2 linked regions of the Oreochromis niloticus genome follow. The protein of the gene in region 1 interacts with the protein of each later gene in a pairwise test. Links are inferred from orthologs where the notes say so. Each region holds a gene or a part of one and is shown in the gene's direction. Other genes may lie near its edges.

Region 1 (7,910 bases):
TGTCACTGAGCGGCCTGAACTTCCACGAGGAGGATGCAGGTACAGATGATAGTAAAATACAGCTACCATACCAAAAGTCTGACCTTGAAATGAACTTGGCTGCCTGTACAGCAGTGTGACTATAAATTCAGAGAGCACAGCAGTTCCTATGATGATATTTAAGGTGATAAAATTACATCTAGAGAGGCAGATCATTTACTTTTGCTGCCTAGAGAGGTAAACAGACACCACCTCAAGGCTGCAGTAAAGCTAGAGATTGGCAAAGAGGTTCCCCTTTATCTGATAACTACGCAATTTCACTTTCTTGTGATTACTTGTGCTACAGGCCCGTTTTACTGTGATTTTGATGAACAATAGCCTGTAGTGCAAGTGTGTTTCGGCCTTAAAAGAAATCTGGCATTTGCCTTTTTTCAAACTGTGTTTTTTTAAGGTCACATACAACAACTTATAAAACCACTAAAAGACAAGTTATCTACTGGTGCATCCGCTGCACGCACACAGTGAAAAAACATGTCATGTGGGAAGGGAAAACCCTCCAAAGCATACCACAAGAAACCTTTACAAGCAAAGAGAACCCAGATCAAACAGTCACTAAGGTACCATTTACTTAAGGATGTGTTCAGGACCTGCAGCTCTAACCCAGGAATGGGCTTCACGAGCGTGGCATTTAAAGCCAAGTAAAGCATTCTTTTCTATCGTGTCCACTGGCAGCAACACAGAAAGTGATGGAGAAACAAACCTCATTTCTTCTGATATGGAGAAGCACAAATTATCAACCAGGAACCAGTTACATCAATAATTCTGGTGTTCATACGCAACGTTTCTTCTGGCTTTCTCTCTCTACGTTATTAAAAAGGGAAGAAGAAGAAAACACAAAACAATTTTCAACCATCAGGAAATTACCTTTGAGAGCCCAGGGGAGGGTGAAGGCTGTTTGTGCTTCAGGGAAATTTGGTCAAAAATTCTAACATGACATTTTAAATGAACAAATAAAACTCAAATGCTTTGCTTCTTTCCACAAGCACTTTAGTGCAAATGAAGTAGAATAAAATAATACAAAGATCAGAGAAGAATGGATCATGCTGTTTACAAGTAAAATCACAAAAAGTTGGACATACAAGCTTTTTTGTGTGCAAATCTCCACTTTTCTGTACTATAGCAGAGACATATGGACTTGAGACAGGAGCAGTTGTGTTTAAGTACATAAGAGAGCAGAACAGCTGCTTGATAGGAAAGCAAACGTGCAGGAAGAGGAACGAGGTGAAAGACAGAAATGCAGGTAGAAGACACTCAGGATACCTGTGGTTAACTGAACTGTGCTGTAGTTTGGCACGAGAAAAATCAGTAAAACCCACAACTCACAACCACTTTGGCACAGAATAGGAGTTCGTAAATTTCAAAATAAAACTCTTTTTTTTTTTTCAGTGTAAAAAAACATTTGAAAGAGCATAAGAGCACAGCGTGACTTGTCTAAACTAGTTATAGCAGTGAGCTGTCAAACAGGTGTAACCCATTCTTACAGGCTAAGCCGTCGGTTACAAAATATATTGTTGACTAATGTTTTACTCCTTTTTTCACTGCCTGTCAAAGTTTTTAACTCCCCCCAAAACTGAAAATGTGCGTTTATGGTTTCACCTAAAAAGTTAATGGGTGGTTTACATGCTGGGGAAAAAAAACAAATTGTGGTGTGACACCGCACTTCCGTGTCATTTTTCTAGAAATCTCTTGCACTGGTGCTGCTGAAAAAGTTATTTTCTTCTAATTCTTTCTTCTAATTCTTCACACTGTTGTCCTTCGCAAAAATAACTCACTTTATTCGTATAGCGAGAGGTAGCATATGCTCTCAACGAACTAACTCGAGTCACAGCACAAAGTTAGCTAGTCCGCTAACTTTTCTCTAAGGAAAAAGTAGTTTTAAAACATCTATTACAACACTGGCACACGTCGATAATTTAATTACCTTTGTCTGCATCCTCCATTGTCTGTCCAAAGCGTTGTTTCTCGTCGATTTCTACTCAGGGTCCGCAGGTTGTTCACTTTCCTGCTGTGGGTCTTCCTGTTCTCTGCCTCATGTTGCCAGGCAGCCCGCCGTGCGGGGTGGGGTTCGCCGTGACGTCAGCACGCAGCAGTGTAAACAGAAGCAAGCACGTGGATCAAGTTTTAGCCCAACAACAATGCAAAGCTGCGCAACAAGGACACGTCATTATTTGTATTTCTGTTTTTTGGGGTTTTTTTTTTTTTTTACTGTACAACAAGAATATGTATATGTATATGTAAAATTTATATGTATCTGCAATAGTGTAGTAGTATATATATATGTTGTTTTATTTTTCTTAAGATAACCTTTATTAGTCCCACACGTGGGAAATTTGTTTTGTCACAGCAGGAAGTGGACAGTGCAAAAGTTATGAAGCAAAAATTAGAATAAAATAAAATAAGAATAAATACAGTACACAACTGTACAGAATAGAATAAAATAAAATACTATATACAGTAGAATAAAATAGAATAAAATATACAATAAGATAAAAATAGAATACAAATGCTATATACAACTGAGTAAAAATACAACGATGCCAGAAAAGATTATTGCACATTAGTCTTATTGCACATGTGTGGATGTGTGTGTTTGATCAGCTGCAAAAGTCTTTATTGTGGAGTCTGACAGCAGTGGGGAGGAAAGACCTGCGAAATCTCTCCGTCCCACACCGTGGGTGCCGCAGTCTCCCACTGAAGGAGCTGCTCAGTGCTGTCACAGTCTCATGCATGGGGTGGGAGATGTTGTCCAACAGGGATGACAGCTTAGCCGCCATTCTCCTGTCACTCACCACCTCCACTGGGTCCAGAGGGCATCCTAGAACAGAGCTGGCCCTTCGGATCAGCCTTACAGATAAATACGAGGAAAACTATGACACATGCAAACCTGTTGCTTCTGGTGCCAGTGACAGGCGGCGACAGCTAAATTAGTTTAAAGAAAAGCCAGTTAAATCAGGCTTTTAAATCATTATAATTTTATTTTTAATACTAATAGTGAGGAAAATACTGCTGCTCCACCTCATGTAATTCCAGCATATACAGGAAGAATGAAATTATATTGATATCAATATCACTTTTTATCATGGCTGCCTTAAATATTAGTTTCTATTTCCTTTTTGTTTTTCTTCTTTTTTAGAGTTACATATATGTATATATATATATATACACACACATATATATATATTCGGCTAAATATCGTTTTGAACATATCTTTCTTAAGCTCAAACTAACCTCCATTTACAGTCAAGTCAACTCAAGATATTTCTAATTTTAAAAATACAGCCAGTCATTACTCTGCTGAGACTGCCACCTGCAAGGCCTGCTGTTCATTTGATGCGAGATGACATACTGCACTTTAGTATGACAGAATCGAAGGAATTTCAGTTATTTTTCCTTTTAGTTCCATTATATTTTTTTAATTTTCCAGCTGATAGCTTGTACGAGCTAGATGAATAAACACACACACTAGCCATACAAAAAATTCCTTGTCTTCTTCTTGGGAATTTACCCACTCCTGTGGGATATACAATCCTCCACGTTATTGTCATCCAAACCCGGGTTAATTCCCACTCTTGTTCACACGCTGTGTGTGCAAAGCTCTTAATTGGGAAGCAATGAAACTATACACCAAGCAATGTGACACACAGAGGGTGAGAAAAGACGCTCAGATGAAAGAGTGCCACCTACTGGATCTCGTTTTGATCACAAGGAGCGGGAGACGAGCAGATAAGGGAGAATACAAGGCTGGAGTCTCCAGAGAATGACACTTCGGGTCCAAACGTATTACGTGACTTTATTTCAGATACACGCGTTTCAAAATATATATACAAAATCTCAGTTAATGAATAAAACCTTTGTTTTAGGGTTCAACATGCACCAACAAACTCAACAAAGGGGGTCTGGGAAAACCCCCCCACAAATGCAAATATACTTCGAGCACATACAAAATATAAGGCACCATTCTTACACACACCACATAAAGCTCAGGGGTAATATTGTGGTGTTGAATGTCGAATATCGACTTAATATTATTGTAGTGTAAGCAATTGTGTTTGGAATAAATATCTCGGTTAACATGCTTTTATGTATATTTATTGGCCCCACTTCTTCATATTCAAATGCCAACCTTTATTTATTTTTTTATTTATAATACATATATTCACTATAATAAAAAGTAAATAAATGAATAATATAAAAAAGACACCCGACAAGTTTCCTACTGCAGACATTCATGAATGTTGGGACACCCCGCCGTGAGGAATGTGATTTGACATTTGCGGTCTAATAAAACAAACAGACATCAGATGAAAAGCATGCGGAAAATGGGTGCTTTTTTTTAAGCACAAAAGACCCCATGCTGATCTACACCCCCCTCATCATCTTCCTTTAAAAAGCCACCCCCACCACCACTACCACCAACACGTCCCCTCCCCCCCGCCCCCCTCTGGACGAGGTGCATTGTGGGGAGGAAAGTCGTTGCCATTCGACCTCTGCGGGGCCTGCGCGGACGCAGCGAGAACCCTGAAATTCATTATGCGTTTAAAACCTTTATTTATTTCCGCATAACCTACATACTCTCACCGGGAGGGCCGAGCGGAGCGCAGAAACGACGACGGTCCATCTCTTTCGGGAAACACATCGGTTATAAACACAGCATTTTAATCGGAGGAGGGGGATACTGTTGAGAAAGTGAAGATTCTAACGTATATTAAGAAAAAAAATGTCCGGTGAGAGAAACCGCAGGTCGCTGGCTTTCCGAGGAGGTGGATTAGCTGGGTTAACGGGTTCCAGTGGTATCGGTGGGGGGAACTGTAACAGCTGGGAGGCCCCGGCCTGTCAAGATCGACATTTTAACGGGAACAGGCCGGATCAAGAGGAGGACAGGGATCTGGGGGCGAAAGGACCGTCGCAGAAGAGAGTGGAGGGCGCTGGATCTGTCAGCGATAGCACGGAACCCGAGGCGGAGGAAGAAGAGGACCCGGAAGGGGGCAGTCGGGCAGCTGGGGACGGCGACGATCGTGTCGACTCGGTGGAAGCGGAGGACGGGTCCGGGGACGGGAAAAGCTGGGTTGCGGGGAACGGTCACAACAACAGCGCCGACGGCCAGGAGACTGCCAGGGGAGGGATCGAGACGGGATCCAGGAAATCTGGGGTAGAGATGAGACCGCAGACGCTGCTTCAGAAACACTCGCTTTTCCACGCTTCGTGGTTGCAAGAATTTCCATGGCTCAAATTTTGCCAGGAGACTGGACTCATGTCCTGCTCCTGGTGTCACAACATTGCCACTAAAAACAGCGACGAGCTCGTCAAAGGCAGTCGCAACTACAAGAGGGCCTTGCTGCTGAGACATCACCTGTCTTCTGAGCACGGGAGAAACGATCCCACCAAACAGGTAACGTTAGCCCAACTCCACGACGCTTTCGTTTAGTTAACTACGTAACGTGAAATACCTGTCACCGTCGGCATACCTTAATGTCATTACCTGTTTCCCTTTTCTGTCGCACGTAATAGAAGTTACTTCAAATTGTAAAGCGCAGCCTGGGAGGAAAATGAGCTTTTACCTAAGCTTCACAATCCCTTCTCCCGGCTAATTAGTTAGCATCGGTGTGCGCTAACGACCACAGCTAATGTCTAGCCTAGCTTCACAGCCGCCCGTGGCTTTACTGTTTAGCCGGAGGTAGGTGACCAGTTGCGGTATTGGAAAGCCCCTGTAGCGAAGCTAAGGGGTGACAGAGTGGAAAAACAGAATCACTTCAAAATATATTGTACTATGCAAGTTACTGTTGTGTGCCCACTCACCGGGCAAGTTAAAGACCTGCTCCAGTTTGACACCTGCTAGCTAATATCGCCCCGGAGGCTGTTTGTTGTCAAGTGACCGGACTAATTGCGTGTCACAATTAACTGCTAATCACTGATAACTGACGAAAAGGAATGGATAAATATCGGACAGTGCAGGTGTTGTGGAGCAGTTTGAGATGTTCACCGTACACCGCAGCTAGTCCTTTCACCAGCAGCAGTCTTGATCGCTAGCTTGCTAGAGGTCGCACAATGGCAAGGGCTCGACCCTGGCAGCCTTCGGGGAACCGCACCCCTTACCCAACCCCCCGCCTCTCATGCAGCTCTGCTGCCTCTCTGTCCCGGGTGACCTCTGGCGCATTTCTTCCTCCTCCACCTCCGCCTCCCTTTAGGGAGCTAAATTAGAGGCATTGTGCGAGAATGACCCCCCAAAATCCATAGATGGTGTCACTTGCAGTGCTGGACAAGGAGGGGAGAGTAAATCAGGTTGCCCTGAGCGTGACATCTTGCTTGCCCAGAGGCAGCGTTTGAATAGGTTTGAAAGAGTGAAAATAGATGTCAGTGATAGGATGACACAGCATCACCTGAGCCTGTCATCCATATTTCTGGATTATTGGGCTCTGGCTATAACTTTGGGGCATATCTTATGATTAAAGGCTTATCCTGTTTGCAGAGGACTGAAACCACGGGTCATACTTACAGGAAATGACTCCACTTTATTTAATAGGCACATAAAGAGTGTGTAGTTAGCTAAAGCTCGATGTAGGTATAAAGTTATTGGGTATCCATATCAGTTTCTTGAATGCCTTTTTTAATTCAAAACACTCACATCGTTATTACATGTGAACTCCCTTTATTGATGTCCATGAGATGTTTTTATTGCTTCATCATTTTTTATTGCGGTTTAAGCAACACTTCTACAATACTCTTTTAGTGACCTCATAAAAACAGGGAGGGCAGATTTGTCTGTACAGTTCGGTGTCAAAGGACATTTTTCCCATTAGTCCTACAGTATGGGGGGGGGAGAGAGCTCAGTTCCTTTTTAAATTGCCACATCCTACCTCATATTCAGAGAATGGTTTGAGCTGTCACGAGAATTAAGAGCGGGGTGCTATTCGTCTGTGATTTGTGAGTGAAGAGGATTGTACTACTACATTTAGTTCCTTCCTTTGTACACGCAATCACTAATCAGAATGACTTAAAGTGATCCACTAACTTGTACACATCTCTAATTGGCAAGGAGAGCACTAGGAGTGGATTAGGGGCTTGGTGAGGCTTTTCCCTAGCAACAAGGACCCCAGACGCTGTCTTGAGAGGTTTTTCAGGCCATTTCCTGATAGATGGTTAGAGCTGAGTAGATAACGTCCCAATGCTGTATTATTAGAAAAGATTGAATTAAAGCTTAAAGCCTTCTTTCCTTTTTTTCCGAAGTACTTATCTTTTGTTTTTATGCTTCCTCAACTTGGACTGCCTTTTTAAAGTAAACAAAACAGCAAACACAGTACTGCTGAAATAATAGGCAACAGTGTAAGCAAGACAGCATTATGAAGCAGTACATTAAAGGGGAACTACGGTGTTATGAGGCAACGTCTTGTTCTATTCACCCATTCCTGATGTTAGTCAGGCCTCTGCTGCATTTGTTAAAGCTAATTCAATTATCTGTAGCACACCAGGGCAGCTGTGGTAAATGTGGGTATCCTTGGAGAAGGGGGCCGTTGTCCTTAATTCTCTAGATGCTGTCTTATGCTCAGATTGTTCCCTGTGCTCACTAGAGGAAAAAAAAAGGGTAAATGGAGGCAAAAGGAGACGAGGTTTTCTGAGATCAGATATGAAGTCACATATGTACGACCAATTTAATTAAATTGAATTCTCAGAAAAGTTTTATTTTTTATGGTGAAAAATGGGCAGCCCATACACTTCTTTTAATACGCATTTAAAGGAGGGCGGCTGAGCATGTGTTAAACCCACTCTAGATGTTACAGAGTGATAGAGAAAGTTCCTTGTCATGGTCGTGTGCAGAGACTATGTGGCTGGTATTCCTCTTAACATGATAACACAGAGAGATGTGTACTTGTCAT
Region 2 (8,391 bases), on another chromosome or scaffold:
AAACACTGTTTAAAAATACCCAGTGTCATTTCTACTGATTGAAGATTATATTTTAAACTACCCAAGGCCATCGGAGAAGGTGTTGACATTTGAAGGTGAAGTGATAAGAGTGTGATGCCGAACTGTTAACAGCCACATCACTGCTGTAGTGTTTACATTGCCATCAGAGATACGGCTGGGCTGGTTGACCTTGAGGTCTTTTGTCTAAGTCACACAATTGTTTGTTGACATTGTAAACATTTGTCGTAACTTTCAGTTAGTAGCCCATAATCTATCTTGGCACACAATTTGGAAACCATCAAAGGCTACTTTCACAGGGACATACATAGGTTTGGGGGGGGTATTTAAACACTTTCATGAACTAATCAAAACTGTACAAAGCTTAAATTGTTTAACTAAACTAGCTCTTGCATCAGTGTAATCTCTCCAGCTAAACAGTGGAAAATTGTGGCAATTCAAATAATGCAGAGGCTGCAGAGACTGTGGGCAATCAAATGCATACCAATGCCATTACATATCTTTGACGAAGACAAATGCATGGCATCCCTTTCTCATATAGTCAGACTTTCCATACATTAAATGCACTTATTATTGTGTAATGTTAACATCCATAAGTTACACCACTTAAAAATACATCCACACTCTTTCTCAATCACATGTTACATAACAGATGTGATGTTTGATGTAGTTCTCCGCCTCGCCACTATAAGAGATCACACATCATTTAGTGTTTTGGCTTTTTTGGAGAATCTAAATTTTGCTAGTGGTGTGAAAGTTGTTTTTGGTTGTTGTCGTTTTGCCCCTTCATATATGCAACAACTTGACTTTGTAACCAGTTTCACCTGACAGATTAGTTAAAGGCGAGTATGTTTCTGAGCTGGAGAAAGCTGAGTGTGCGCTTTTGCGTCGCTCTGGCTTAGCGTTAACCGTTAGAAACCGTTGTGACATTTGACCAGCAGGTAAACTACATTTCACTTCTCGCGGAAACACATTTGGAGCTTGCAGTGCGCACATTAATATGCTGTCTTTATTGTCTCCCTTTAGATGCACGACAGCTACAAAATGGCAATTGACAGCAAACCCCTTCAAAGTGCAGAACAACAATAGGTTTCCCACTGTGGGGAAGGGTGTTCCCCTTTGTCCGGAGCACAGGTGCACAGGCGATACCATGACCAGCTCAAACATTTAGTCCAGTCAACACCGGATATCTGGTTAGGGGTAACGCCTAACTTTGACGGTTTTTGTTTTTTCTTAAAAAAAGAAAAAAGATTATATACACTAAAATTCTAGTTTTTTAAACTTTACTGTAGGCGTAAGAAAAGAAAGAGCCTTTAAAGACAAACAACAAATGAAAGCCTTGAATTTGACATTGTTTAAATTGACATCTAGCCCCCACCCCCGCCCCCACCTCCCTGAGGGAGAAAAAAAAAACTGCAGCACCTTAAAGTAACTCACTAAGTCAACATTTAACTCACTGTTAAACAGTTTGACAACAATGTCCAAAAGCTACTCACTTTTACTGAAGTAAACCTGTGGAGTCTGTCGAATGAATGCTGGAGATAAGACGCAAAGCGTGGCTGTAGTTAGCTGTGCTTCCTCTTCCTCTCGGCTTAAATCTTCCTCCTGACCCAACCCTTTGATGGAGGCGGAAAAAGGTGGAGTCATCTTTACACTGGCGTGAGTCGGTCGCTTAATATGGACGTAATCATCTTAGTGTATCAAATGTCATTTCGTCTCCATTCCGCGGTCAGTCACAGATGTTTCATTGTAACAGTTTGTAATGTAAATTCTGTACAGTTTAGAGCTCATTTTTTGCTCTTTGTAACTACTACTGGTTACAACTGTAAAAAAAACGACTGACACACAGAAATGACTCAGTGTGGTTCCTTTCATATGTGAATAAAAGTATGTAGAGTAAGTTGCCATATCTTTAGAGAAAAACTAAAATTACAATATGCTACCCAAATGATCACACCAAAAGCAGTTCGTGCGTATGTAATAATTACACATATATAGTAGGCCTGAAACACAGTTCACCAACCCGACTGTGCCTTTTATTGCTTTAACAGTGTTTACTTTTTTCCAAGTGTACTGCAGGATATAACATGTGGCATAACACGCTGGTGTTCCTATTCAACAAAACATGATGGACAGAAGCGATAAAAGTCGGCTTGTCTGTCAAACAAGTAGAAGCAACGTGTTTTACATAAACACACGTGGTGCATTCCTAAGGCCAGACGTGTCAGTTTATGTAACACATTTCGATTTTTAATTTTTTTTATTTGTTTTTTTTTTTTTTTTAGTTGAGCTGGTTCTATTTGCCCAAAGCAGTCACACACTCCTGGCCTTTCAAAGTGAAAACAGTAGATGCATTCAAATCTCCTGGGCAGCAGAGTCCTGGTGGTGAGATTTAACTATAATGACCATTGTGGAAGATCTGTAGGCTTCCAGCCAAGCCATGACACCACATATCAGACATGTGCTCTACTTGTGGTGTAATGAATAACCTGCAAATCACCTGTAGTAGGCTCAACACCTTGCCTAGAGCTGTAGTCACGAACTGATGACCTTTGTTCTTAGTGGGGTCCATACAAGCCAACATTACATCATCATATAAAACATCATAAAGCAAATTATGTAATGAATTCCAAGAGTGAAGAAATTGAGCAAAGCTTAAAAAAATATTATAAATAAACAACAATAAAATTAATGTTATGGTCAAAACCATAACTATAACATTTATGTGTGCATGTTTGTTAATTTAGGATTGTTTAATTTTTTTTTTAACTCATCCTTTATTTAATCGGAAAGTCACTTGAGATTAAAATCTCTTTTTCAAGGTGAATGTGGCCAAGAAGGGACACCATTACAAAACAGTCAGCAGGTGGAAACATAGAAATACAGTATAAGAGACATAAACATAAACAGAGTTTATACAGTTCTGAAGGATTTGAAAAGGTCTTCTCGACCCTGCGGGTTAGTAATCCAAAACAGTGAAAATTCATGTTTGACCATGTTTGAGAATAATATTGTAAATGTATGACGTCTGCTTGAATGTACAGTTTAATTTGAAACAATACTTTTCGCTTTTGAGCTCCAGAACAACAGAGTACTTCATGCCAACATGAGTGAAATTCCATGATGAAAGCAATTAACCAGATGACACTGTGTACAAATACTGCTGTTAAAACTGGATTAATATTAACCACAAACTCAGAGCATGTAGGTTTATCTAGCAATAGTTCAAGATACATCACACCAACAGCTGTACTAAACTGTAACTCTACAAAATCGTGTGTTTTATACATTTAAGGCATTTATTTTTGCTTTAATTTTTTTAAAGGTTAAATGTGAAAAAATTGTTCTTTTTTTTTTTTTTTTTTAAAGAAAATCTACCTGCTACATTCAAGGAGTGGAAAAGTATATGGTGCTCAAGGTGGTGTGTTTTTAAGAGAATAATAGCAGAGCATTACACTAAGTGATGGTATGAGGTAGGTGAGGAAATGCCCGACTGGTTCAACTTCCTCATCTGTCACATATCTGGATGATGACAGTCACTCTGACATGGAAAACTAGAGCAAAGGGCCAGGAATAATCATAAATGCACACCTGCTTGATTCATCCATTCTTTTCTGTGTATGTCACGGAAAAAATATGAATAACATTGTAAACAATCATTACATCGGAATCTACTTCAACTTAAGGGAAGGAAATACATTTCAGAGTTTGAATTATTTCTCTTTAACATTCTGCTTTATTATTTATTTATATTGATGAATATACTTTTTGAATAACCCAGATAAACGAGTTGTTCGAATGCTTTTGGTCATTTGACACACAATGATCAGCTGAATAAATAAACTATAATAATGTAAATGTAATAAGCATACACTGATAATTCAAATGTGCCAGAAAGTTGCTGATTCTTTAATACATGGACATTTCTTTTCACAATATTGGAAACAATGCTAACCATTACACAGCCGCATTCAGTTATTGGAGCAGCTTAATATTTTATAGTTAATCTTCAAACCTAGAAAATGAACCAAGGCCAACCTACATGTACTTTCTTTATGTATGTTACAGTAAACTTATGTTTTATTTTAGTGACTTTATATTTTATTGTTAAATGTATGGCATTAAAATACCAACAACAACAACAAAAACAATCTCACCTGTCAGTTCTTTTTTTATCAACTGACATGTAATCATGATTTAGTTATTTAAAAAGATAATCAGCTGCTCATCAGTAAATAGGGAATTTCCCTTGCTGATAACTGACTGATAGCTCTGACTAGCCTCTCGTTATCCACAGCCACACGCCATCATTACAGTCATGCTGACCTCAGGTGGATATGTTGGAGTACTGCAATTTAGATCTACCTTCCCCCACTCCCCACCCACCGTAAAGTTTTGACTGTATGGTCAAATAGACATATCAATATATTTTCACATATATATGGATTAATATGTAGGTATAGACACACAAACATATACATTTTTATCAGCTGGGAGGGAATGATTTCACAAAAAGTATAGACGGCTTCTTTTTGCATGGTGTAGACAGCCTGTGCACTTTAGTATCACCATTTTTCCCCAAGACAAACAGAGCAGCTATCACAAAAAAGGTAACCTTCTAAGGTCACAAGGAATTAGACTGTTAAAGTCACACGTGGCTTGTTTGTTCATGATTTGAATGCAGAGCTTTTTTAGTCCTTTAAAGAGAAATTGTGTCTTTCAAAGAGCAGTTTTTCCATGTAGGGAACGCACTGAATTCCAAAGCAACTTCTTTAAAAGGCAAAGAATTTAAATAATATGTTATTGAGACTTCATAAAAAATAGCCAGGCATCATGGTCGTGGACTGCCAGGCATCCAGAAATGTTTGTGGGATTATTCTTTTCCCTGTGTCCTATAAGTAGCTCAAGAGAAGGGATGTTTTCTCAGGACCTTTACCAGAGGGCTGGGCTTTGGTTGGATAAGAGGGTTGGCTGCTTTGCCTACAGAATGACAAGAAAGAAAAAAAATGAAAAAGAGGGAGGGCAGAGTCGGTGTTTGGGGAAGGCCTTTTTCAGCCCTTCTTCTCTTTCAGTTTATAGGTCCTCCACACACCCACCCACATACTGACACACACACATAGATAGCAGAACCTACTAGACAAAGTCAGGAAGTGACATCACCTACAGGAAGAGAAGGCAAATACTTTTTTTTTCTCTTTTAGTGTGTTGTCTGTTTTCCTGAGGGAAGTTGGAGCCCCTTAAGACCGTTAGCAACTAGCAGAGAGAAAATTCAGAGGACCTAGAGGGGGCAGAGTCACTGAAGCAGGCTTTCACAGGGAGTTTAGAATCAAAGGATCCAGACACTCGAATCCTCCCTGAACTTCCCACAACTCTCCACCACATTCCAAACACTCCGCTGCAGGATTTCGGCCAGGTACAGTGCACAGAGATTTTTCCATTCTGTAATGTCTTGTTTTGCTTTCCCACTGACAATTTGTTTCTTGTTGCTGCTGCACCACGAAATGAAAGACTTTCAAGAAATTGCAGTGTCTGATGGAAAATTGGTAGAAAAAGAAGAAAAAGAAGCATGCATGCGACATTACATGCTCTAACATGCTTCAGTGTGACTGCTGAGGCAAGTAGGGACAGAAATTGGTCAACGGTCACTTCCTCCTTCATACTGTCACTTTCTGTATAAATCATAACTGTTTTCGTATCCCAAAGATTTCCGAGATGAAGCTTTAACTGAACCAGTGTCTCTCAGAGTTTAGGAGTGAATGAAGCTCTGTCTAACTCTTGTTTGTTATGGACATATTCAGAGCTATCTACTGACCACGTATTCAAGTTCCCCCAGTGGTGAGTTTTGAACTGAGATCAGGCAAACTATGAAAGCTAGTGGAAAGAGCCAATGGATATGATCACATCTGTTTTTATTTCTAGCCATTGCCTTTTCCTCAGATTAAGACAGGAGGGACCCAAGTCCTCCAAAAGCTTTACAAACATGTGAGAGGCCTGTGGGTTGTGATTTTTTAGGTTATTTTGTTAATAGAAAGATAACAACACCCATATCAATATCACGTGATGGGAGTACAGACTGGCATGAAGTGACAGAAACATCTGCTAATTCAAGTCACCAGAGCCTCAGTTACAACCGTGGGAAATTCTGAATACGGCAGTTAAAAATGGGACTCAGGACACAATGCGGCTGCAGTATCATGTGTTGCAATCACAGCTGCTTTAATCTAGGTGTCAGATCTCTGGACATTCTTCCCACATCCTTCAAACGGTGAATAGAAATGTACAATTCAATTCAGTTTTGCCACATTAACGCGTTTAAAAAATATATTTGAGACTGTAAAATGTAACCGTCCATCTTCTTGCTTTAAAATAAATCCTCCAAGTTAATATTATATCAAATAAAATACGCAATCATTACTGCTTCATTACCATGACATTTAAAACCTGTGAAGTCATGCTCCCAATACAAGCAAATCACCAGGCAGATGGACAATAGCTTTGCACAAAAAATATCCCTAAACTTTTAATTTAGTTTCATATCCACTTTGTCAAACAAGAATGGGCAGTTTTCTATCTATATTTAGTGCACCCCCCACCCCCCCACAAAAAAAAGAAAAATTAAAGTCCTAGTTCTGCCTTTAAGAGCATTAAAACTATTTCACTCAGGACATTTTCTCTCACAGTTTAATCTTTAGTGGATCACAACATACCAATCATTTTCCCAGTTACGCCTGACTCAAGTGGCCTGACTTTTGGTACAGCAGACTGAAAATGTTGCTATTTTTACTGATAGCTGCAACTGAAAACTTTGCTTTAAGGTCATTTGGTTCACAAAGAGCAGCTGTGACTATAAAAAAACATTTTAGCTGGTCTTCTTTAGGAAAATGTAGGGTTTTTTTGTTTTTGTTTTTACTTTATGGTAGCTATAACAATTGTTGTCATTGAATATTGCATGAATTTTTTTACCTTTTATGTTTTATTCACCCCAAAATGACCACATAAGGTTTAACATGCCTGTTATTATCTTCACAGTGTCATCGCACCAAATGAAAACAAGAACTCCTTGCAGTCTTTACACGACAGTCGCTGACCACCTGTGACCTGATTCCAAGAGCTGAAATCCGACCGGTTCCCCTCTCCCAGGAAGGCTACACGTTCTCATACTCCAACCTAACTATTTTTCACCGTTGCGCATTCTCCCCTTATCTCAGGGGAAATAACTGAGTCAATGGCATTGTGTCTTGGTCAAGTGTTTAGCAAAGACAAAACATTTAGGCCAAAGAAGCGCTTTGAGCCCGGTACGCAGCGGTTTGAACTGTACAAGAAGGCCCAGGCTTCGCTCAAATCTGGCTTGGACCTGAGGAAAGTAGTTCAGCTCCCAGAAGGCGAGAACCTCAATGACTGGATTGCTGTTCACGTGGTGGATTTCTTTAACAGAATTAACCTAATCTATGGCACAGTGAGCGAGTACTGCAGCGAGCGCACGTGCCCTATCATGTCTGGGGGACTGAGGTATGAGTACAGATGGCAGGATGGTAAAGACTACAAGAGACCCACCAAGCTGCCTGCTCTCAAGTACATGAATCTGCTGATGGACTGGATAGAGTCACTAATCAATAATGAGGAAATCTTCCCCACAAGAGTAGGTGTGTGTGAGGAGTTTACAAATGAAACCATCGGACTGCTCTTGAGTGCGTAAGCTAATACATGACTGAGTGTTGGCTGCAGAGATTTTATATTAAAGTGTCAGCACAGAGTGCAGAGGTGCTCTCCTTCATTAAGCTCTCAAATGCAATGATTGAGTTCAAGGAGAGGTTAATTAGACAATAAAATGTTGACATTTAGAGGGGATTGTTGACTAGGTGATCATAGTGTTAAATTAGAGGTGAGAACTTCATGCGTCACAGCAGCGTGAGCTCAGAGCCTCTCTGTGGCGCAGTGGTTAGCACTGACATTCTGGGACTTCTCTTTTCTTATATCAAGCCTAGACATGCTAGTCAGGTATGATGAAAACTCAACATTTCCCACGAGTGTGAATGGGTTTTGGTTGTCTGTTAGTGCTTGACAACTCCTTCAGGGTGTTTCTGTCCCTCCCTTTGCTCAGTTATCACAATCCCCCATGGACCTGAGGGAGAATAAGACAGCAATACTGTCTTCGCTGCACCTTTGCTTAGAAATTAAATACGAATAATTAGATTGTTCTTCACGGGGCCTTTTCAGCTCTTCAGCACAAAACACAGATATTTTTATAAGGTCTTTTGGAATTGAAACACAAACTACTCAATAGATTATTTAGGAAATGAGGTAGATTAATAGCCCTATTGTAGATAAGCATGATTAATAATGCACTTTAAATCTGCATGCATGGTAAATCCA

Evidence for each region.
Region 2: the proteins of zbtb10 (region 1) and mob3c interact in binary tests that used the Homo sapiens proteins (3 or more experiments, as listed by UniProt). The link is inferred for Oreochromis niloticus from reciprocal best matches to the Homo sapiens genes ZBTB10 and MOB3C.

The regions. Positions count from the first base shown.
Region 1 is NC_031985.2:20,709,587-20,717,496, forward strand, and holds the start of zbtb10 (zinc finger and BTB domain-containing protein 10), read left to right. Parts: upstream 1-4,475; 5' UTR 4,476-4,756; coding exon 4,757-5,428; intron 5,429-7,910. UniProt on the Homo sapiens protein: May be involved in transcriptional regulation.
Region 2 is NC_031986.2:43,323,523-43,331,913, reverse strand, and holds the start of mob3c (MOB kinase activator 3C), read left to right. Parts: upstream 1-5,111; 5' UTR 5,112-5,431; intron 5,432-5,721; exon of another isoform or gene 5,722-5,853; intron 5,854-7,047; 5' UTR 7,048-7,243; coding exon 7,244-7,661; intron 7,662-8,391. UniProt on the Homo sapiens protein: May regulate the activity of kinases.